Styela clava: one gene and its partner. The protein of the gene in region 1 binds, or shares a complex with, the protein of each later gene. Links are inferred from orthologs where the notes say so. Each region holds a gene or a part of one and is shown in the gene's direction. Other genes may lie near its edges.

Evidence for each region.
Region 2: the proteins of queuine tRNA-ribosyltransferase accessory subunit 2-like (region 1) and queuine tRNA-ribosyltransferase catalytic subunit 1-like are in contact, whole or in part, in a crystal structure (PDB 7OVS), measured with the Mus musculus proteins. The link is inferred for Styela clava from reciprocal best matches to the Homo sapiens genes QTRT2 and QTRT1. Residues at the interface, in NP_001343258.1 of Mus musculus: Arg39, Thr40, Gly41, Ser42, Ala43, Pro44, His45, Leu46, Thr47, His48, Gln49, Thr50, Asn53, Glu70, His71, Glu73, Val74, Glu77, Tyr78, Phe85, Ile86, Gly87, Phe119, Gln342, Glu343, Phe345, Tyr355, Asn359, His360, Ala363; in NP_068688.2 of Mus musculus: Thr50, Thr53, Met54, Lys55, Gly56, Ile57, Thr58, Thr59, Glu60, Gln61, Ser64, Arg80, Pro81, Leu85, Lys88, Ala89, Phe95, Met96, Asn97, Ala307, Lys308, Phe310, Pro320, Thr324, His325, Ala328, Phe329, Ala332, Leu333, His335.

The regions. Positions count from the first base shown.
Region 1 is NC_135264.1:9,668,809-9,680,767, reverse strand, and holds the start of queuine tRNA-ribosyltransferase accessory subunit 2-like, read left to right. Parts: upstream 1-7,239; 5' UTR 7,240-7,329; coding exon 7,330-7,395; intron 7,396-7,493; coding exon 7,494-7,613; intron 7,614-9,215; coding exon 9,216-9,386; intron 9,387-10,820; coding exon 10,821-11,032; intron 11,033-11,729; coding exon 11,730-11,836; intron 11,837-11,959. Other genes in the region: PDZ domain-containing protein 8-like, read left to right, coding at 194-280, 2,203-2,398, 2,634-2,748, 2,818-2,968, 3,568-3,683; putative transmembrane protein 244, read right to left, coding at 6,077-6,249, 6,509-6,634, 6,732-6,975. UniProt on the Homo sapiens protein: Non-catalytic subunit of the queuine tRNA-ribosyltransferase (TGT) that catalyzes the base-exchange of a guanine (G) residue with queuine (Q) at position 34 (anticodon wobble position) in tRNAs with GU(N) anticodons (tRNA-Asp, -Asn, -His and -Tyr), resulting in the hypermodified nucleoside queuosine (7-(((4,5-cis-dihydroxy-2-cyclopenten-1-yl)amino)methyl)-7-deazaguanosine).
Region 2 is NC_135263.1:5,979,636-5,991,977, reverse strand, and holds queuine tRNA-ribosyltransferase catalytic subunit 1-like, read left to right. Parts: upstream 1-6,580; 5' UTR 6,581-6,723; coding exon 6,724-6,767; intron 6,768-7,233; coding exon 7,234-7,351; intron 7,352-8,017; coding exon 8,018-8,182; intron 8,183-8,517; coding exon 8,518-8,670; intron 8,671-9,520; coding exon 9,521-10,255; 3' UTR 10,256-10,294; downstream 10,295-12,342. Other genes in the region: chondroitin sulfate synthase 1-like, read right to left, coding at 404-507.

The DNA.
Region 1 (11,959 bases):
GCTAAAGTTTTTGTAGTCAGAATTTCGTTTTGGAAGTGCTGTCAAGTGCAGCATTGAGTTTAATAAATGGCCAAAAATTTGCAGTTTGATGTGAGTTTACCCTTGTCACCTTGCCCTATTATTTTCTTTTTTTTGTCTCTAATAGTGTAAAGACTTTTTGTGGTATATTAAAATTTTTGTTATCTTCAATAAGATTCTACTGAAAATGAGAATGTTGAAACAAAACTTGTTGATAAATCATCTGATCGTTTTGTTGTTGTGGATTCTGACGATAATACAGGTAAACACACAAAAGTTTTTGTATTGACTGTAAAACTAAACCATATGTGGTTTGGAGCTAGTCTAGCTCAGTGGTTCTCGACCGGGGGCCGCGGACCCCCGGGGGTTCGGAAAACATTTCTAGGGGGACCGCGATTAAATTAAGATTTCAGGAAATTATTTGCAGTTCATTATCGTTTTTTTGTAACACGCTCGGACATTTGCTGCCTGTGACAATAGCCTACAAAAACTATTTTGATTTATCTCCCGTAGACCTATTGTGACAAATACGAGTTATGACATCACAATGATAAATACGAGAACGCAGCTACAGTGATTTCGAGGGCATGTAGTCACTGGTCACGTTCTTATTTGAAGCGAAGTATCTAGTTGTTCTACATCCAATGTGTAACAAAGAAATTTGTGTTGCTTACTAAAACTTAAGTACCCCTCAGTGTGAGAGAGTGGCAAGGAAAAACCGCAATGCCTTTTATGTTATGCTGTTCTTAGCAACGAAGCCATCAAAGCTTAAGCGTCACTTGCAGCAGACACACCCAGAACATACCGAAGTGAAGTGACAAAAATTATGCGCAGGTGAAAGACGTTGACATCAGTTCTGCTTGTTCAATTTGTTACAAATCTATTTGTGCGAATCTGGTTTTTCTGATCTTGGTAGCATCAAAACCGTCTCAAGGTTGACAGTGATATTTGTCTTGCTATATCAAAGACTGTGCCTAATATCAGGAACCTCGTCAGACAAGCGCAAGATTCCCATTGATCGTATAATAAAAAGCTTGGCCTTTCTTGTCTGTGGGTTGTTTTTGCATTCCATAAAATGTCGTAAAACATCATACGATCCAACACGTTTAGTTTTTGGAATGACGTACAGGGGGTTCGCGAGAGCAAGAAGGCGCCGGAAGGGGCTACGAGCCGTAAAAGGTTGAGAACCACTGGTCTAGCTGTTGCATAGGAAGCATTTGTTTTTTACCTCCATGGCATTGATTTAGTTGTTATTTTTACTATAATTTTGCAAGATTGAGTTAGTGTTCAAGTTAACAAGATTTTAATTTGTTTTGAAATCTTGAAAAAACAATTTCATAACTCAAAAGGTTATAAATCCAGTGTCACCACCAGTTAACATGTCACCACCACATTGGATAAAAAAAACAATTTTTTAGGCTTGATTAAGCCAAAGCATTCCACCTTGTTTACCTAGGCTATGAATTCGAAATGCTGTTGCTAGTCTTAAAGATTCAAGTCACGCTACGTCGTGTATGCCAATATTTTAATTTAGAATCTGATTCAATAAAAATATTCACTCACAAACTTCTAATTACTCGATTAAACAAACTTAAAATCGGTTTTGTTGCACAAAATTTTTCTGTTTCTAATCACCTTTGAAATTAAATTTTTGCTGGGTTCTTTAAAGACGAGGTAAGGCTTCACCTAATGTGTGTATGTGTGTTCACAAAGATTTTAAATCTTTTAAGCTGTAACTTTCGATTTGTAATTTTTTTTTGCTTCCTGTCACAACTCACATAAAAAGGAGATTTTTTTGATAATTATCTGTTTTGGATTGTTGTAATTGTGCACTTTTTTATGTTGTTAGATATAGTGTGCATGAGAAGGTAGTTTAGTGACTCAAGCAAGTGTAAAATGAAACAATGGTGGTGTAGGGGCCGGACCTGGGTAAAAATCTCGAAACCCCAAGTAGATATGCAAGCCAAGTCACAGGTCATCTTAAATCAAAAAGAGAGTCAATCACTGTGTTAAGTCTCACTACTGGTGGTCGGTTGATGGATGACAAGTCTCAATTATTTCATTTAGAGGTGGCTCAAGTCATTCTCGTAGTCTTTGATATACATTGACTCGAGGGAATAAGGTGATTTTTAGCATATGGTTAACATACACAATTGTATTTATATAACTGTATTGCCTTCACAGCAGAAAAAGGTCTACCAACAAAGGCTTTATCCTTCCGAAATAAAATATTAGACATGACGATGTCACCTGAATCAAAAGATGTCAATTCAAATGTTGAAAATTCTGGCATGAGGGTTCCTGGCTCTCGTCCAAGAGCTTTTTCTCGCACTAAAGAATCTGAACATTTGCTGGCTGTCAACGCTAAGCAAATGGGAAGGTAGGTTCACACTAGTACCGCTATTGCTTTAAAAAACGCGGTGTCCTATCGACTCCTATGGCTCGATGCGCCTTATGTACGAATAAAAATACAATCTGAGCACTTTATTGACTGTGCATCTCATGGTCTGTAAAATATGGTACTCAAAAAATGAATTGGACTTTTTTGGACAAAGTACGGTACATTATTACATGATAGTGGCAAAATTAGAATATAATGGAGCCTCATTTTTTAGAGATCTACACAGAGATTTACCTTTGTCACAACGTAAAGCAATGCTAGAAAGCCAAACACAAAAAGTTGAAAATGAATTGCACAGTGAAATTGAAGAGAAAGAAAGGCTAATACAGGTAAAACATATTATCAAATTTAAAATTTCTTTATTTTAAAACACTTGAATTTATATATTTGATTTTTAGGAACAAAAGCAGGCGGGGAACACTACACCTCAATGGGATAAATTGAATAAGAAAATTTTGAAATCAGATGAGAGATTGCAAGCACTGGCATTACTTTTACTTCATTATAGAGCAGGATTAGAAGATTGTGAATTTGATTCAACTACTCATGGTAATTTGTTAGCTACGGTATATAAAACTCATATTCAAATGGTGGTGTTTGAAAGATTAAAAAATTGTTATATGTATTCAAATTACTGATCCTAGATGTCAAAACCAATAATTTTATTCTCTTATCAGTACATTTCATACATTAAGCCGAGAACTTTATAGACACTCGAATTCTGCTTATTTATTTTATGCCTGTACATTAAAAACCAATATTTTAATTAGTATAGCTTTATAGAGGTAAAGGAATTGCTATTTTTACCATAATGCTAATATAAGCTAATTTTTGTATAATTAATATGTATAAGTTTTGATTTTGAGTCCATAAAAATGTGTATCCTGGTGTGAATGTGGTCCGTGGTTGAAAGCTGACCATTCTCCACAATGTCAATTTCATTTTTCTTTAAAATTCCATTATTTTCTGCTATATTGAAAAAAACGCTGCTATATTGAAAAAAACTCTTTTCATTACTTCAATTTTATTCCAGGCTTTGTTTGCTTTTCTACCTTGGCACTATGTTTAGATGTTGTTGACATTATCTGTTTGTGGATGAATCTAACTTCCGAGTAAATGACAGTCATTATATATACTCTTATTTCTAGGTTTAGTATTATCTGACGATGAAGATGAAATATTCGGACAAGTTAGTTCCCACAATATACCTGAAGTTCGTATAGAAAATGCCACTGAAGATGAAGCCATCAATGATAATATGTAATTTTTATGTTGCCACATATTTTGTCCGCAGTATCTTAATGAAGCTTATTAAGAGTAGTTATGATATTCAAATGGAGTCCCAACTCTGTGATTTACTTTCTATTACACTATCTTTAAAAGCATTTGCTATGCAATTTTTTCATGCAAGTGATAATAGACTGCTATAGTGGTCATATACATCTTAACCTAAATAGTTGATATCTGGTTATGATTTACAAATCGAAAAGGCCGAAGACCATAAGAGGAATTGTCAAATTGTTTTGCTAAGTTTTTGTTGTTAATGTTTATATTGTTGTTGTTGCGATGCAAAAACAATTTTTCCTTTAAATATTGAAAAATGATTCATCATGTGCGGTAACGGATATCCATTTTACAAAAAGGACTAGCTTTATATTCACCATATTGCGAGATTCTGTGTTTTATTCATTTTTTAAATATTATAAGCTAATTCACACGGCATGTTACAACATAAAATTGTGCAATTTCATATTTAAAATATTATTAGCATAAGCTAACAACTCGTACCTCTTTTTATAAATTGCACCAGCTTCTATACATTTTAATAGTATGCACGTTCCATCTTTTTTTTCGGTACAAAACCATTTTAATGCAGCAGTAACTGGTCGTTCTTTTTTAAATATAATAATTCCATTCTTTAGGTTTAATTGCCACTGTATAGGTAAAACTTGGCATGTCATATTTTCTGGCTGTGGTATTTCTATTTGTCAAAACTTTCATTCTTACAGCATATAAATTGGTAAATGCAGTTATTCAGAACAGTGAGATTCCATGATGCTTTTTCCGTTTTTTTTTTAAAGTGAGCGGTTATTGGAATATTTTTATTAGCATTAGATCATATCATCCATATTATTGCCAGGATAAGTTCTACATACAGTGCCTACCTTTATGTGACAGTTTTGTTATTTTTCTTCCAGCTGTAAAAAAACGCGTTTTTATTATTATCGTACGCTTCCTTCTTCAAGTCCTGATATGTGGGTAAATGCAATATTGCTGTAACATTTTTTTTAATTCACTGTTTCTATATTTTGTGTACTGATGAGTAAATATAGCAGCAACAGATTAAAATTTGTGATTTTCGTTGAAAATTTTAACAAGTGCCTTGTACAAATTATAGTTGAATGCTTGATTCACTGTAGTTGTTGGTTATATCTTTCACTTGAGATGGGAACGCATAAAGCGTAGATTCGATTTTATGATGCGCTGTGTGAAAGATAGATTTATCACAAAGCCTACTCAATCACCTAAACGTATGCGTTACATCGCTGAATTAATATTTCGAAATATGGATAATGTCCATTAGAAAATGTCTCTCATATTTATTCTTGGAGGGTAGTTTTTAATATGGCAGGATAGCTGCGAAATTATGGATAATGTCCATTAGAAAAAGTCTCGCATAGTTTTTAATATGGCAGGAAATTCAAAATTGTTATGGTTTTCTTCTCTGTTCGAACACTAGATGTTAATTGTACAAAACCATATTCACCGCATAACTGATTTTGAGTGTGACTTCTGCACAACTAACGTCAACTTGCCTATATTGTTATAGCTGGACACTTCTCAAAATTAGGTACTCTTTATTTTATTAACATCTTTTTACAATAACACAAACTAAAAAATATAAAACGTGCAATTTCAGTCACAGTTAACAATGTCCACTCGTAAATATAGGTAATGGCAAGAACACAGAAATTGAAATAGGAATGATATTGAGGCAAGAAAATAGCACTTTATGAATTAAAGCAATTACTTGGCAGTACAGTTTCATATGATTGTATTGTCAAAATGTTAAGGCTTTAAAGTTGAGACACATAATAAAATAATATAAAGCAGTCACAGTGATATGACTGATAAATTTATATTTCATAATGGGAGCGAAGTTTAATTTTTGATCCCGCAGATGGATTTTTGAATGGGTTAAAGCAGGGGTGTGCAACCTCCAATACACAAGGGCCAGATACAAATAACTGGATGAAACCCCTGGCCGTACTTTGACTGGCATTGCAACGCAAAGAGATTGGAATTACCAGATTAAATTAAAAAGTTGTTTCGTGGGCCGCACACCAATCAAAATGGCACTTCTAGGCGGGCCGTACAAGTTTTCCTTGTGGGCTGCATTTGGGCCGCAGGTTGCACACCTCTGGGTTAAAGTCTCGTGTAATATTCACTGACCAGATCAGAATAAATCATCGTTCAATAGGTAATTTTTTGGGAAAATAACTAAATTTTAGATGATTGTTACATATAATTGGTAGCAGCATATTAAAAAAGCTTCTGGGCACTTTATAAATACAGCAGTACTGAAGGAAACTTGTGATAGTTTGATAAAACTATATTATACACAGTTATAGATACAAAGAATTTTAACACTGAACTTTACGATTTATTATCATTATTACTACTAGGCAGAACTAGAGAATTCCCAATAGCTCTTCTTGCCTTTTTTCGTCGTAGGAAAAAGGAAATACATTCACCCATTGTTATCATCCATAATGTGCCAATTCCAATTGAACACCACCATTGCCATGTTGTTGGTAATGCCATCATTACTGCAATATTTAAGAATAAAGAAGATAATCTACATGTCTTTGTGTTGGACCACCTTCATTTTCAATAGAACTATAACTGGACTAAATAATAAGTCGCATCTACTTTTGAAAAATTACACTTCTCAATATGTCAGAAAATAATGATTTACATATTCATCTTGGGGGAGAAGAAAGATGATAATATAGCCACTCGTCCGGCTACCAGTCTGAAAACTAAATGCACACAACAAACAGAATGCAAAATATGATTAAAAGTTACCTGCACAACTGAGGATTAGGTGCACAAAGGTGATTGTTATTGCATAATCCCAAACACGAGACAAAAGGTAGAATGATATCAAAAGAGTGGTGCAAAAATATGTCAGCTCCATAGCAAGGAAACAAGCTGAAAAGAATTTAATTGTAAAAGTTCAGAAGTCTGGAGGTAGGTTTTAAATTACCAGTCTCAACCTTTTATACCTACTTCTATTTTCTATACTTACCAACGCTTTCTACTGAGCCAGTGGAAAAGTCCAGGTTTGACATGGCTACAAAATTGAATGGCTGACGTCCATCAAATGTTGATTCAACATGAAACACTCCGTGCATCAAAGCAGACATTGCGAAATAGATGCAATAAAAAGTAAACAAACATACTCCAATATTTTGAAGTATCAAAATGTTGGATCGCTTCAATTCTGGACTACAAGTACGTCCCTCATTTTCATCATCAGATTCGGCAGCCATTACTTTTTATAAACATCTCAAAACTTCTGAAAATTGCGGCCAAACACCCGCACCTGAACAGTCTTTCCTTTCACTAACCGAGCCGAAGACACAATAACGAACGCAACACGTAGTAAACAACTCAATAATATTACCGAATGTCATATCATTTGTTGCGCTTAGTGTAATATGCCGAAACACAGCGCACTGTGTGAGTAACAATTTTTTATTCAAAGTTAAGAGGAACAAATCAATATGAAATTCGTTTATCGATTTCCATGATGAACGCATGTGGTAGGTTCACGGTTAACTGAAAACAGGCGTTCGCTTAGGTATTGCCTCGCCTACTATAAAACGATACGGTCATTTCACAGTATGAAGACTGATATTGTGACAGTCAAAGGTATTAGACATGGGACTTTTTGCAACGAAAGAAACGGGGTGAGAATAACTTGATCATTCCAATTTACAGATTTCTGAAGTTTATATAAAGTCTGGCTAGCAGTACAAATATTTTCACCCATACTCCTTTGTTTTAGGTTAAAAAGAAAACTCTCTTTCCAACGTGTATGCTATCAACAAATTGTGGTACTGTGCCAAATCTATCTCGTGAAACTTATTCCTACATTCCAGTGCATTTGCATCCTGATGTTACAGAGGTGAGGCTTGGCCCAGCAAAACAGCGCGGCGGTGTGGCTCAACGGGCTAAGCGTTAGGAATACGCTCGCCACCGCACCTCTGATTACTCTGCGTGGGTTCGCAGGTTCGAATCCCATGCAGGGATGGTTATGTGCGAGAGGATTGCTGGACTCCTCGCCGTCGTTGGGTGGTTCACGTAACCGCTGGTCGGTTACGGCTTCCTCCACCACCAAGTCCATGCTTCCGAAAACAAACAATATATAACTAATCCCATACCCGACTTGGAATGGTAACCGGACGAGAGGCCGTGGTTCGCCATATGGATAAGCCGTCTTATCGGCTTTCCTCTCCCCCGGGATAAATATGTAAATCCTATCATATCCTTATCCTAACATGTTAAGATAATTTTTCATAAAAGGTTTCTGTCAGTTACATTAAAATTTTTCTAAGTGTTTGGAATACGTTTAACATTGCACCGCAAATTAACCTGTTCGGGTTTGCAGGATCCCATGAAGAATGAAATTGTGCCAGCTGGCTACAGGATTGCTGAACGGGTCTTACTACTTACTGAATACAGCGCGAAACACCGCAAAGAGCGCAAAACATCGCAAAATAGCGCGAAACAGAGGAAAACAGCGCGAAACAGAAGGAAACCAGCGCAAAACAGAGGGAAACAGGAGACGCAGTCATTACCACCTCCTGTCACGAAAGAACCACGGCTATTTCCGGCATATTTACAAGGTTATGTACCGGATTATAGGTCATCATGCGAAATTTTATCTACCTTTTTGGTGCTCCAGAGGTATGTGCAGCAATATGTCGCACAACCTGAATCCGCTACACACACACACACATACTATTTTCAGGTTGTGCGCCATCTTGGTGCACATACTTCTGGAGGTCCCTTTTTACCTAACCCTAACCCTGAAGCCAACCATATCCTTATGGAAAATGTCCTAAATTATGGTACCCAAAATTTGTCACCAGCAGGGGCAGACCTGCCATTACAGCATTACTGGCTACATACGTTGGTTTGTGTTTTTAATTTGCTGCCGTGGTACTCCAACTCAAAACAAGGTGCCCCGAACTCATTGCAAAGTTTTTTTCTGCTTCACACTGTTTCCCTCTGTTTTGCGCTCTTTCGCGCTGTTTTGCGCTGTTTCCACACTGTTTTGCGCTGTTTCCCTCTGTTTTGCGCTGTTTTGCGCTCTTTGCGGTGTTTCGCGCTGTATTCAGTAAGTAGTAAGACCGTTGCTGAACTACTCATCATCGCAGGGTTGTTCACATAACCCCGTAGCTTCCTGCACCATCCAAGTTAATACATCTTAAACAATTAACTGTTAAGTTGAATACGCCCATACTCGACTTGGTCGAAGTAACCTAACGAAAGGCTGTGGTTTTACATATGATTCTCCATCCTTTATCTCCTTGAAATAAATATGAAAATCCTACCTGAAAGTCATTGGGCATAATCATTCAATTCTTATGTTGATTCTCCGACGTAAATCAAAACAACATAAAAAGTAAAGGGACAAACAGAATGCAGAGATACTAGGGAGACGAGCATAACTTAGAATTAAGTTAAACATTAAAATAATAATTTATTTATCAATACAATTTAGGTTCCTGTACAGTCAGTCATTGATCATGAATCAATATTTTCATCCTATGCTGGATGGAGTGGTGAATTGATGAGATTGTCAAAATCTTCTCTTCTGTATGTATCAACCCAAGACCCACTTTTATCCCTGAAGACTCGCAACAAACCAGATGCTGTGCAAAATACAACAAAGGTAATTCAATCATAGGTTGGCTATTTTTATTTGCTTTTCATACTGTAGAATACAAACTTTTGTCTCTTGAATGCGATTGATATTGTTGCTCGTCATTACAAAAAACTGAAGTCAGGTAATATATATCAGGTAATTTTATTCCTCTTTGCAAAGGTGGTAGAGTCCTACTAACTAATGGCTTCAAAGATCTGGTAAAGCTCAAATAAATACCCATAGCCACCATTAGGGGTTTCAAGATAGTATGCTTGTATAATAGTCAGGGCTGCCATCAATATGAACCCAAAAATAAGGACATCGAGGAGGCGTAATAATAAGATAACAAAGAACGCAATGTAATAAACGAAATGTATTCATGCCAGTGCCACCCGTGTCTAATCATACTTTGCACTAGAAAGAATTCCTCCCAGCAGTTCTTTACTCTTAGAAACTATCTGTTCCATCTCACTTCCGAGTTCACTTCCACTTGTAGAATTAAATTAGATTAAAATTAGATTCTCTACTGTATTTTGGTTCAAGTTACATGAACTGATCTTTGCCGGTAGGGTATTGTTTTGACCTTGTGGTTAATTAATTTGCTGTTATTATGTCATGAATGCATGTAGAAATCAATGAGGTTCTGATATCATTTCTAGCAGATGAATCATTCGAATTAACCAATCTAAAAACACGATATAAGAACATCTACCCCTAAAATAAGATTTAGGACACATGTCAAAATAAGGACGTTTCTTTTAAACAAGGACAAAAATATTTTCTGAGACATAAGCCCTCAAAATAAGGACTAATCTTAGAAATAGGGACGTTATGGCAACCCTGAACATAGTGAACATGAATCAGCTTAAAGTCAAGTTATCGGATCAGATGAGTCTTCTACAGCAGCTGTCACTGACTTTGTGACAATTTTACTCATTGATTTGGGAGGGCACACATTGCAGAACAAGGCCGAGAACATGCAGAATATGGATAATGTAGATAATGTATATCCAATGATTTAGAAATTTCGTTATGCAGAAAAGGCGATAAAATTATGGTATAGGATGGTTCGTTTTGGATTTCTGTTGCTATTATGTTGATCATAATATCAAAACATTAAATTACTCTGTCAATATTAAATCTAAATTTCGATATTGAACTTACTCGTTATGCAGAAATATTCCCCCAGAGATGTTCTTTTTATTAATTTTGTTGGCAAGTTAAATTACAGCGATCGAGCAACTGGGTGTATATGAATATGATAGAATTTATATGCCTGATGTGAACTTGCCAGTCAATGGTTTATGCAAGTTATAAGGCCCGATTTCGAATTCAATATATTCTTTAACAATGGTTTTATTCAAAAGTTGTATCAAACTGCCTTTCCACTTATGTCTGCTTTGATTGTAATATGAAATAATTTTGGTATTAGTAGTTCCTTTTCAATTTTTTCTTTTACAGGCAGTTTCAATTTGGGGAAACAAAGGTAGGATCGCTCTGGACGTTGAAAAACATTTGCAATTAATTTCAACTTTGACCCCTGATATTTTCGAAGTATTAGCTGATGGAGACACAATAGCTGAAGATGTTTCTAACAAGCGCGTGTCAAAATCTTTTGCAAACTCGTTGAAATTTTTGGAACAAAGTTTAAAGTTGCATAAGGAGAATGAAAGGTATACATATTTCTCTCTATGCAAACTTGAGCGAGCGACGGTAAGAAAAAATCCCCCACTCACTGGCTGGATGCTTTACACATTGCGTTAACCTTTTGTTGGTATTTTTCAAATTTTTTATCAAGCACTTGGGTCCTTGCTTTGTGCAAACTTGTTATAGAAAAAAGCATTAGGAACATCGCACCATTATCCGTATATAGAGATAGGCTCGGCGGTGTGACGCATCATACTAAGCGTTAGGAATACGGCCGCACCTGATTACCCCACATGGGTTTCGAATTCCCAGATTCGAATCCCATACAGGGATATTTATGTGCGAGAGGATTGTTGGACTCCTCACCGCTGTAGGGTGGTTCCCTCATCAAGTCCATGCTTCCGAAAACTAATAACTGGCCAACTAATCCCATACCCGACATGGACTGATAACCGGCCATGGTTCGCCATATGATTAAGCCGTCCTTTCAGCTATCCTCTTCCCCGGGATGAATATGTAAATCCTATCTGTTAGCGAAGAACGATCATTAAAGTGTCAAGAGCTACTGGGGCTATAAATCATTATAGTAGAAGTAGAATTATAGAATTGCATTTTACTAAATTCCAGTTACACTTTTAGTGATTTTCACATTTAATGTAAAAGATAAATGAGCCCCTCTTGTATTCAATTAAGTAATGCACAAGATACATTTGTCGTTCACAGGCTACAAGATTCACACTTCATTGTACCATTGGAAGGAGGACATTCTGTTGAATTGAGAAAGAAATACGCAATCAGTGCTCTACATCTTATTAAAGAGAATAGTACAAGTAAAAAATGTTATTTATGTATGACATTAGTGTATTGTATGCAACAAGGTTTAATTGTATTTAAATTGTTACTTATCGATCTTGATCGGTAAGTATGTTGATAGGTATTTGTCTGTCTGTGTG
Region 2 (12,342 bases), on another chromosome or scaffold:
TTGCTGAAGAATTTTCAAGCATATTTGGTTTTAGACGTAAATTATTTGTGGCCTATTATTATCAAAGACTGAAACACATGTCAAATACAGGTAGTAGATCAGTTGGTTGTGAGCTATTTACGCTTCAACATAGCGGTTTCAGAAGCTTTCGATATCTAAGTGGTCGTCTGTGCTCCGAGATGAGTTTTCTTTACTACTGAGCGCAAAATAGACCCATTGGTTACGCAATATCGCCTTCAAGCATTTATAACAGCACTGTATTAGAATTTATACTGTAACTGTAATAGGAACTTTCCATAGGTCCAAGCATAGGCTATAGAGAAAAACATGAAATTACCTTTCTAACCTGTCTAGGTTCACTCAAGGAAAAATTTAACGATAAAATATCAATTTCTTGTCATACCTGTACACAATCATTTCAACTTGCGTGCTGAATTTCCCCATGTTTCTGCAGCTACTGTTTTCTCTTTTTCGATCCAACGGAAGTAACGAATGTCGCGGAACCATTATTTAACAACTACAATTCTCTGTATCTACTATTCCGATGCGAAAATGCCGCAAAATATCAATATACACGTTCGAAAACAACCTGTTCTCGATCGACGCGTTTCCTCCGCTACGTTACGGCTACTCCCATAAAACAAACAAGGCTAAGAAAAGGAGGTTCCATTATTCGAGTGCTAAGTAAAGTTTGTTCGGTCATTTTTAGAATGAGCCAAATGAGGGCCACGCCTTATCCGCACATTCCTTCACTATTGGCAAGCGAATCGACGTAAATGTGTGTTTGCGTGCATCGAATCCAGACGTATAAACCACGCCACGATGATAATGAATTGTGATTTTATGCTCCTTTATAAGGCGTGAGTTTTGAATGGGTAAATACATCCTTTCTCTTTAATTGTTATTCAAGTTGCCGCGGTAGGTATATTGATACTAAATCAGTAAATATTTAACATTACAAGATTTATACTTCTATTTACACCCTTGCACTGACCCCGGGACGAGACAGGCAACAAGAAGATTGCTACGCGCTTAACGTCCTATTATAAATGTGATACAGACTGCTAGAATACAATAAATTGGAATACACGGAAATACGTACTTCTCTTTTTGTACCTTACCTAAGTGCGTTAAACCATTGTATTAAGCCAAGCTATACCTAAAAGATTGTCATATTTCGCATCGTCGCTTGATTTGACTGGACTTGTCCTTAGTATCGAATGCATGATTCTATCACCCTTCGTAATCAAGACTTCTACTAACATTTCCTCAAGTATTTTGTCGTTGTACACCGATCTCCACAGTGGGTTTCCTTAGTAAAAATATCTACATGAAAATTAATCGTTCTAAAGTAATAATTTGGACTTTGGTCGCGTGTATTATAACTGGTGTGAGAAACATTTATCTTTCCGGTTTAAAATAGGCTATTACTACCATTGCTGCAATCGTAATGTGTATTGTAATATATATATTATACATATTGTAATAATAACATATCAATTCAAAACAATATTTCTGATATTTATAAAATATATGCTCAGGGTCTGGAATAATATTTAGGTATATATAAGAAATTTGTTCACAGAACATAAAATTGCATTTCTTGGAGTTTTCATTGTTTTCCTATTGCTGATATATGATTTTGATACAAGTTATATTTTGTGAACCCATTAATAAAATACTGGGTTTTTTCAAGCGGGACCTTGATTCGAAATTTAGCTATGCTATGTATGTATGTTTATTATTATAAATACTGAAGACAGGATGTATGCACAAGACCATACTGGCCTAAAACACGAATGTGCGGCATACACCCCTTTTGATATTTATAAATTATAATACGGTAAATCAAATACGTATAATATTGTCCTTTATACAGGCAGTGCAAGGAGGGTGAGTGTGTGTGATAACAGAGGTAAGGGTGGAGTATACGAAACTGTTTGTACAGAGGAGTTTGTAGGACAAAAACAACATCTGGGCCGGGGGGAGTTTTTTTTACTTAATCGCTTTGTGTAAATGATCATAGATGTATAACTGGGTTATATATAAATAAATCATAAACCCCACGAATATGATTTCCGCATGGAGAAGGAAAGGCAGAGTAGACCTAGAATTATTAAGTATATAAATTATTCGTTCAACCAGATGGTGAGATGAACTATTGAAACATTCGATACTTTTAGGAGCATCAAGACAATCCGGAGAAATCAGTACGGAGGAAGTGCGATTTATGTTTATCCATTCCATTGCCATACTTATAGCATAAAGTTCAGCAGTGTATGACGTTTGGTTTAGTGGTAATGAAAAGGACATGGTAGTTTCCCTCTGTAGCACGTAAAAAGAACAGCCAACTCCTTCATCTGTTTTGGATCTGTCCGTGTAAACATATATATGTATAATGTTCAAAGCAAGATTGAATACGAGAATATCGGTCAGAGACCGGTGACTTATCGATCGAAAGTTAGGGGATTCCCCAAAACAGCGCTCTTACTTTATAGTGACACCTTGTGTCCTATCACTAATTAATTAATAACTCTTTAACTTTCTGATATGGTCCAGAATGTTTTTAAAGATAAGTTGGAATACTACTTCTTAATTTATTTTTTGTCTGAAGAGATCGTGAGTTATGACATACATGTCCCCACCCCGCGAGAGAATAGGATTCACGTGTTTTTAGCTATTTATCAGCCAAACTAGCTCAACTAATGTGACTATTTTCGCTGTCAAATTTTTATATTGACATTTTCAATATTACATAGTAATCATGAAGAAATATATCAACACAGCACATAACAAAAAGCAACTAGGCGCTCAGTTTTAAACATACAGTGGAATTGGGGTCCTTATTAACGGCACATGGACTTTTGGCACGGGTATAAATTCTGACTGTTTGTCGTCAAGTACAAGTGTCATTTATTCCGTCGACATCGATAAACTATATTCCGACACAATTATCCCTCTACGCAGGTATTAATTTTAATTTTGTTCAACTACACTACTAAAGTAAAAAAACATCCCCGACGGTTATAGGTAGGTCTTTTTTTTTGTCGGTGCTGATTGATATTCTCTCATGTTGGCTTTGACTTATTGCGTCGACGATTACGATTAGCCACAAAATAAAATATTTGTAAAATGCTTTTAATTTGAACGTAGGGCGGCGGCGCTAGAATGTGTGGGTGATATTCGATATTCTTTTAAACACGAATAACGATATTCGAAGGTCGATATTGACATTAAATTCAAATTGGATATCCCGGCTTATGAGTTTTCTAATTGAACACCAAGATTACTAGCGTTACTGTACAATGTATCTTAATCAGTTGAAGTATTATGGATACCAAACATTAATTTCATATTATGTGACATATCTTTTTATTCGATCTGAAATAATGTGAACTATGAACAACGCTCAAAGACCATTGTTTTAACCTGTCTGTCTTACACAGTACACCTAATCAATTAATAATTACATAGTATCGGTATCGGAATATCGGTAATATCGGCCTTTTGTAGTATCGGCATCGGCGTTTTTAGCAGGTATCGGTATCGGCGACAAAAGTTGTATCGGTACATCTCTACACGGGATATCTCGATACTTCCAAATTTTTAAAAATATCCGAACTTGTCAACATGTTAAATGTTTTGAAAAAAGGTGAATCGGGAAAGTATTCCTGCCAAGATTCTTCAATTATATATTTCAGAGGACGATCATTTATAGAGATGTGGTTCCATTTATAATTAAGACATAGCTGCAGATGTCGGATATGTAAAGGTAATTCCCCCGTAGCTGCTAGTATACTTAAAATGAAGGTACTTTTCATAGCGCCGCAGCATATTCTTAGACACTGTCTTTGTATTAAGTATATCTTTTTCAGGTAGGAGTTAGAAGCAAAAAAGTACGCTTCCATTTCATATTCACAAGCTGCTGTTGAACAAGAAATTAAAACTTTGTTAGCCTTAAGAGACATTGTTCCATGTAATTCCGTCTATAATTCTCCAGTTACAATCGTCCCAAAGCGTGGTTCTAACTCTATTAGGCTGTGCCTCGATTTCAGACTTTTGAATTCAATTACGATCAAGGAAAAGAAAATTCCGTACCCCATTTATACGATTTTGTCAATAAATTGCATGGCTGCCGTCATTTCACTACACTTGATCTCACAAAAGCTTATAATCATATTCCTATCTTGGATTCGTATCAACCAAAAACAGCCGTATCCTGCAACAACAAGATGTACATGTTTAAAACCCTTTGTTTCGGATTGGCACCTGCCCCAGCGACCTTCAATTATTTCATGACAGAAGTTTTAGCGAACATTGAAAATATATTTGTAATTTTCGACGATATCCTTATTGCAACCAAAACAGAAGACGAGCATTTCAGAACACTAGATCGAGTTCTCGAACGCTCACACAAATATGGACTGACTATAAATACAGATAATTGCCATTTTCACAAATCAGAAATTAAATTTTTGGGCCATCATGTCACGCCCGAAGGAATACAGCCCTTAGCCGATAAGGTGGAAGTTTTGCAAAATTATCCTCAACCGAATACATTGAAAGAATTGAGATCTTTTATTGGCCTTTGTACCTATTATAATCGTTTTGTAAAGAATTTTGCTACTATTATACGACCTTTAAATGAGATGACAATTGGAAAACCTAGTAAACGTTCCCGTATCAAATGGAATGATGAATCTTTGAAATCTTTCGATGACATTAAACATGCTTTAGCCAATGCTACGTTATTGGTTCACCCAAATCACCAATCACCTATTTCTTTAATTACTGACGCTTCTGACATTGGAATATCAGGCGTTTTACAAATGTTTGAACATAATCAATGGAGACCTCTGGGGATGTTCTCAAGAGCCCTCCGTGGCCCTCAGAAAACTTATTCGACGTTTGGCAAAGAACTTTTGGCTATTTTTGAATCCATCAAATATTTCGACATGAATTGACAGGCAGGAAATTTCAATTAATCTCCGACTCCAAAAGCCTGGTGCAGGCCATTCAAAGTCCGAAAGAGTCCAAAGTCCAACGGGAAGCCCGTCAGCTTGAATACATATCAACTTTTGATTTCACAGTAAAACACATTGCCGGTGCATTGAATATCGCGGCCGACACATTAAGCCGTATTGAATTTCACCCCACAGAGAATGGTGCCATAAACGCCGTTGTTCCCCAACAGGAAATTATCCCTTTGATTGACATCTACAACGCCCAACAAAATGACCACGAGCTCAAGCAACTTCTGAAGAACGCCAGCAAGCATTCTCTACAATTAATAGCATCACCAGTACCCGAATTAGCGGGAAATATAATTTGCGACATCAGCCTCGCTGGAAAACCACGAACATATATTCCAACTTCGTTACGTCAACGCATTATCAACCTAACTCATAGTTTGTGTCACCCAGGAATATCAGGAACCCAACAGCTTATTAGAGACAGATATGTTTGGCCGAATATGAATAAAGACATTCGTAAATTTGTTCATGAGTGTACTGTATACGATGCCAGAAAGCAAAAGTTCAACGACACATACGATCAGAATTGAAAAACATTAAAGTTCCAGATGAACGTTTTAGCACTATCAATGTAGACTTACTCGGACCACTCCCTCAATCTCATGGTTATGTTTATTTAAGTATAATAAGTATAAGTTTATTTCGACTCCATAATCAGCAAAACAATAAAATGAATGCTAAAATAAATAAATAAAAACTGATTATGAAATCAGGAGAGCGAACAAAACCTTAGATAAGGTTTAAAACGTACAGAATGTATATAAGATGGAAGGTTTTGCCAAGAACATGTGGTACGTGTTCACTCACCTAAAATAATTGAAATATTTCACACACGCTCACACGCACCCACACACACAACCATATAGAAGTTATTAAGTAAAGGGAACATGAAAAATTACATACTGGTAGTTAATAAAAATTAATTTGCTCATGATAATTGACAGATATACAAGATATCCAATTTGTGTACCATTGAAAGACAGTTTAACTAATACAATCGTACACGCCTTAACTAATAATTATAACAGCCACTTTGGTGCTCTCAGTACTGTTAATACATAAAATGGACCGCAATTTACTTCAACAACTTGGAAAGACTTCATGGCGTTTCTTGGCTCAAAACATATATTGACAGCACCATATCGGCCTCAAGAAAATTCTTTGGTCGAGCGCCTTAATCGAACTGTTAAAGCTTCTCTTAGAGCTTGCGATCACCCATCTGACTGGTTTCCGAATTTGGGATTTGTTTTACTTGGTATTCGATCAGTCGTTAAAGAAGATTTGGGTGGTTCACGTAACCGCTGGTCGGTTACGGCTTCCTCCACCACCAAATCCATGCTTCTGAAAACAAACAATATAACTAATCCCATACCCAACTTGGAATGGTAACCGGACGAGAGGCCGTGGTTCGCCATATGGATAAACCGTCTTATCGGCTTTCCTATCCCCCGGGATAAATATGTAAAATCCTATCCTATCCTAAGATTTGGGTTTCAGCCCTGCTGAATTAGTTTATGGATCAACCTTGCGCCTTTCCAGACCTGATAATGCCCGACAGGCACGCGATTGACGTCATCAGTTCGTCTGTGTACGACGCGGCAAAGCTTCTCTGTTTGAATAGCGTGGAATTACAGTATATTCATTCATAAAGCTGTAAAGAAACTACGTTGTTCTGATACACGAATACTATATGATGGCTCAATCGAATTTGTCGTATACATCATCAACTCTTAGGTAAGTCGATATATTCTATTTCATGCGTAGGCCTATTTTTATCTATGGATGTATGTGCAACCTTATAACAGTATAAAGTACAATTGACTGAGTGATTGATAAGCATACTACTGCTGTACGGTACAGTATTACCTTGTTATTAACAAAAGACACGGCACTATACGGGGATAAGTTATTTCCTGTCTCAAAGTTAAATCTGTAAATACAGAAACATGATAGGCGTATGCTTAAATGGCAAAATTCAGATGCCAAAGTTATACATACCATTATACACCAGAGTGACCCCAGCACAAACAAGTTTTTGTTGATAGCTTTACATTGAGTATAAAAGTTCTTCAAGCCCTTGCATGCAGCACATGTTTAGGCTGGGTAACTCTGGTCTGGTAATTCTCCTACTCCACTGAGCACACCCAGGCCGAATATTAAACCAGAAATTAAATATATCTGTATATACCAAACTTTTCAGCATGGAGATTGTTGCGAAGTGTAGCACAACAAAAGCTCGTGTTGGAAAGTTGAAGTTACCTCATAGTATCGTTGATACCCCAGTATTCATGCCAGTTGGAACACAGGGAACTTTGAAGGTATTTATATCACTCAAATATAGGATTTGTTCATACTAGGAAGTATAATAGTGTTTTTATATTTATCAATCATATTATGTCAAACTACCTCTTTTCATATGTTTCCCAATACATGCTGGGTATGTGAAACTTTAACCAGTTGAACTTTATCAGTAAGTGATCAGCATAGCAATCTCTTTGCCGATATCTGTCCAAGGGATGCTAACTGGCAAGGTAATTAGAGATGCAGTGTGGATGGTATTCCTAAGGATTTGTACTATGCGCCAACTGTCCAGCTTTACTATTAATTTCTTTGTTGATTGACGATACTTTGTGCTCCTATGAGATTTTGCTCGATATGAGATCAAGCTCCCACTCACTCAAGCCCAATATGTTCAAATACCTCAAGTTGAGAGAAAATGCTAAAAACGGTAGAGGTATCATGGAATTTAGAAAGATATTTTTTTTGTTAGCTACAATTTTAGCTGAAATTTTTTGATGTCTCCAATTAAAATATGTTTTGTCAACTTATTCTGATTAATAGATTGTAACGGTGTAGTATTTCAATTCATCAAATTTAAGAGTGATATTGATAGTCAATAAATGAGTTTTGTTAATTTACTAAACCTTTATTTTTACGGCCAAACCTGTTATTTCACTCATTTATAAATTTTCCCAATTTGTCAGGGAATCACGCCAAAGCAGCTAGAAAATCTCGATATACGAATCATGCTTGGTAATACTTATCATCTTGGAAACAAACCAGGGGAAGAAATATTAAAAAAAGCTGGAGGATTGCACAACTTTATGTCCTGGGATCGCTCCCTCCTTACTGATAGTGGAGGTTTTCAGGTATATTGACAAAAGTTTGTGTCTGGCCATAACCTTTTAATTTACTATATTTTATGTATTCTAATATGGGTTATTTTCATTGTTCTAAATTTATACAAATGAAATTATATTTTTCTTATTTTCTTTTTATTTATTTATTATAGAAAATTTTCTAAATTGTATATATACCCATTTTGAATGTATCCAATTCGTCTTGGACCACCCTCGAACCTGATTACCTGTTTTACTATAATGGTTTTATCTATTTCCGTGGACTTTTTTAATGAGAACCTACAACAATATCAATTAAAACTATCGATTTAGAAATTGTAACAAATGGGCATTATCTTTTTTAGATGGTGTCACTTGTTAAATTGGCAGAATTTTCTGAAGAAGGAGTGAAGTTCATTCATCCACACAATGAAACTGAAATGATGTTATCACCTGAGAAATCAATGGAAATACAGAATGCTATTGGGGCTGATATCATGATGCAACTGGATGATGTGGTGAGCTTGAAATACCTAATAGTGCTATTTTGCTAATTACTTATCGATCTTAAGATCGGTAAGTATATTGATAGGTATTTGTCTGTATGTATGTATGTCTGTCTGTGTGTCTGTGTGTCTGTTAGATGCACGCGATATCTCACGAAAGCGAGATTGAATCTGCTCCAGATTTTGCATGTGCATTCATTTTATCTCGTACCAGATCCCTATTGATTTTGGGCGAATTATGTCGTATAATTAGCGAGTTATCAATCAATTATTGATATAGTGATCTAGATTTTTGTAAAGCGAGAGAATTTTGAAACCCGCCGAGTGTGTGTGTGCGATGCGCAGTGCGCAAGTTACAAGAGCTGATGAATCGAAACTGCAGTTTCTGTTTTGGGGGATCCCCTAACTATCGATCGATAAGTCTTCGGTTTCCAACCGATATTCTCGTTTATTATGTTAGAAGGATTATGGACAATATTTATGTAACTGCCCATAAACTTTTATATTGCACCACTATTCTGGTTTTAGTCTCTGTACACAAGTCATACATGGTTGGTCAATTTCAACCAATGTCTCAGCTGGATGACTGATTCTTCGATAGCATAATAGATATAAGTTTATCATTGTGCACTGGTTGTGTTTCATGGGGTTAGAGGTTTGAATCCCTTGGAGGCCGTTATGTATGAGGATTGTCGAACATTTTATGATGGTTCACATAACTACTGCTCATTTAAAAAAATATAGTTTAGATTATATTTAGCCATTTCTGACCCAGGATGTTCAAATTAATGCCCGTGGTTGATTTCATGTATGGTATTTTCTGTGTAATTGTTTGATAAAAATATAATTTTCAATATTCCAGGTGAGCAGCACTGAAACAGATCAGGACCGATTTCGTTTGGCTACAAAAAGATCAATCAGATGGCTCGATAGATGCATTGCAGCCCACAAAAGACAGACAGAACAAAATTTATTCCCTATAATTCAAGGTGGATTGGATGAAGAGTTAAGGAAGGATTGTCTGAAAGAAATGACTTCAAGAGATGTTCATGGATTTGCTGTCGGGGGTTTGAGTGGCGGTGAATGCAAAGACGACTTTTGGAGGATGGTGACTGTAAGCACAGATGGACTGCCTGATAATAAGCCCAGATATTTAATGGGTGTCGGCTACGCTGCTGACCTAATCGTATGCTCTGCTTTAGGTTGTGATATGTTCGATTGTGTTTTTCCAACGAGGACTGCTAGATTTGGTGTAGCTCTAGTACGGAAAGGACAAATAAATTTGAAGCGTGTCGAATTTTCAAAAGATTTTGAACCCATCGATAAAAACTGTGAATGCTCCACTTGTCGAGATTACAGCCGAGCGTATCTTCATATGCTATTTAAGAATAATAACCCAAGCGCCTGCAGTATGGTATCTATTCATAATGTAAAATACCAGGCTGATCTAATGGCAGCTGTCAGGGAAGCTATTAGCTTAGATAGATTCCCAGACTTTATTAAAGAAAGGTTTTTAGAATTGTTTGAAGATCAATCTAATTTTCCTGCATGGGCTTGTGATGCTTTAGAATCTGTTGGTGTTAAATTAAAAAAATAAATATTTTTTTAATATTATGCAATCATAGACAATAGCCAATTCTTTTTTGTTCATTAAATATGAATGGGACCTCTCAAGATCTTACGCATCAGAAGGAATCATTCTTATTGCTATCCTGTGGGTAAGAAGAATGCGAAAAGAAGCATAGTGCCGGCTTTTATATAAATTATAGTAATACAATGGAGTGCCCTTCAGGTCAAATAGTTAATCCGTAAGTTTTGCTTTGGGGTACACAATGTATCCATTTCCTGAAATTTCAATCATGAAGGTTTGAAAAATTTCCAGAATATTTATCCGTAAGCTGGGACATCAGTAACACATTGTAGGAGAAGGTAACTTGAACCCAGTCATGAAAATAGAATATGATTTGGTATTCTGGATTCAATTTAACTATTCTAGAACAGTAAATTGTTCCATGTTGCCCATCCTTATTAGTCCACCAAGCAAGATTTTGATCAGAGCTGCACCGCTCCCATTGAAGCCCAGACTTTTTCAAGCTTAAAATATGGGAACGAGTTATTAGATATGCCTATGTGTTTCATTGTTACTTATACAGCATGTATAGTGTTTCTCACCTGGCGAAATCTGTTCTAAGCCACATAACTAAACTAAGGATGACAGGGCACCCATTTGTTTGCACAAATACCAGTCCTGTATGTTTAATCGTGGCAGTTAAGACGAAGCAGACATGATATTTTGAACACTACATTATACTCAGTGATGGGACCCTAACTTTTAACAGGTTTTATTTTGTATCGAGCTCACCAAGAACAGATTACCTCATTTCAGAAAACCATACCAAACTTATAGCTATGGACGTTTCCCTGACCTTTGACCTCTAAAAACACATCTAAAAATGGACAAATAAGGCTCAAAATTACCAAAAGAGACAATGTTTACAACTATGTTCGAATATCTGTCCGAGCATTTGTTATTTCATTGTTAACTCAGTGCTGATTTGTAATTGTTGCAAGAAAATTGATGCCCGGGAAACATCCAATGGTTCGCTGAATATCACGCCCATCCAAGTTATGAAAACAAACCACGCAGTTTTCTTATATTTGGAATTATATTAGATTACATGATGAAACATACTGTAGTACGACGACTGACTAAGAGTGATTTCTATACTTCAGTATCCATATTGCAAAAACAAATTATATCACACGTATTCATACGTTTCATAAAATCATACTTCATTGGGAATCATTTGTTAGATGAGCAAATCAATGACAGGTTCTTACATTGCAGAGGCTAAATGTTTTTCAGAGATCACCAAGATCAAGAACAAAACATCACTTAAAATTAATAAATTTGAAAGACCATTTTATCAATAAACAAACTTCAATTATAAATGCATTTTTCTGTCATACAATGAATTTCAAAATTGCACAAGTCAACTGAGTAAAACACGACTGCGTGCAATAGCACATATAGGTAAATTTAACTCCACTACCGTTATATGCAGCAAATGAATGATCCAGACATTGTATTAGAGGTGAATACAAATTGCAAACTTTTTCCAAAAAATATGAAATTACTAGTCTTATATTTCTAATATTTCAAAAACTATTTCTATTTTTGATCCCAAAATCAAGTTCTATACCGAAAATTGTCACAATGTTAGGAAAAGAAAAACTAAACAGTTGGAGACATTTTATTGGCATGCTGAGAATAATACATTAGGCAAAAGCCTTTGCATTATGACAAGAAACTATATTATTGGGCCACGCCTTAGTATTTATTGTGTTTCATCAGTGGCCTTGGCAAAACCATATGATGCAATAGACATGACCAATTTCGAAATATTGATCAGAAAAAGAAAAAAAAATTTTTTATTCGAGTCGAGATTGAACATTTCTCAAATTTCAACTGGTTTTATTAAATTTGACCGAAATCGTTAAACCTATTTTTGTACAAATTACGATATTTTAGGTACTGATCGCACCAATAACGATTGTGATAATATATTTTATAACTACTACGCGTAATATACTAAATATCAATATGATTCAGGCGAATTTTCTCAAAAAAAAAGATAAAACATATACAATATATCATACTAGATCGCTGCTGTGAGGCATTTT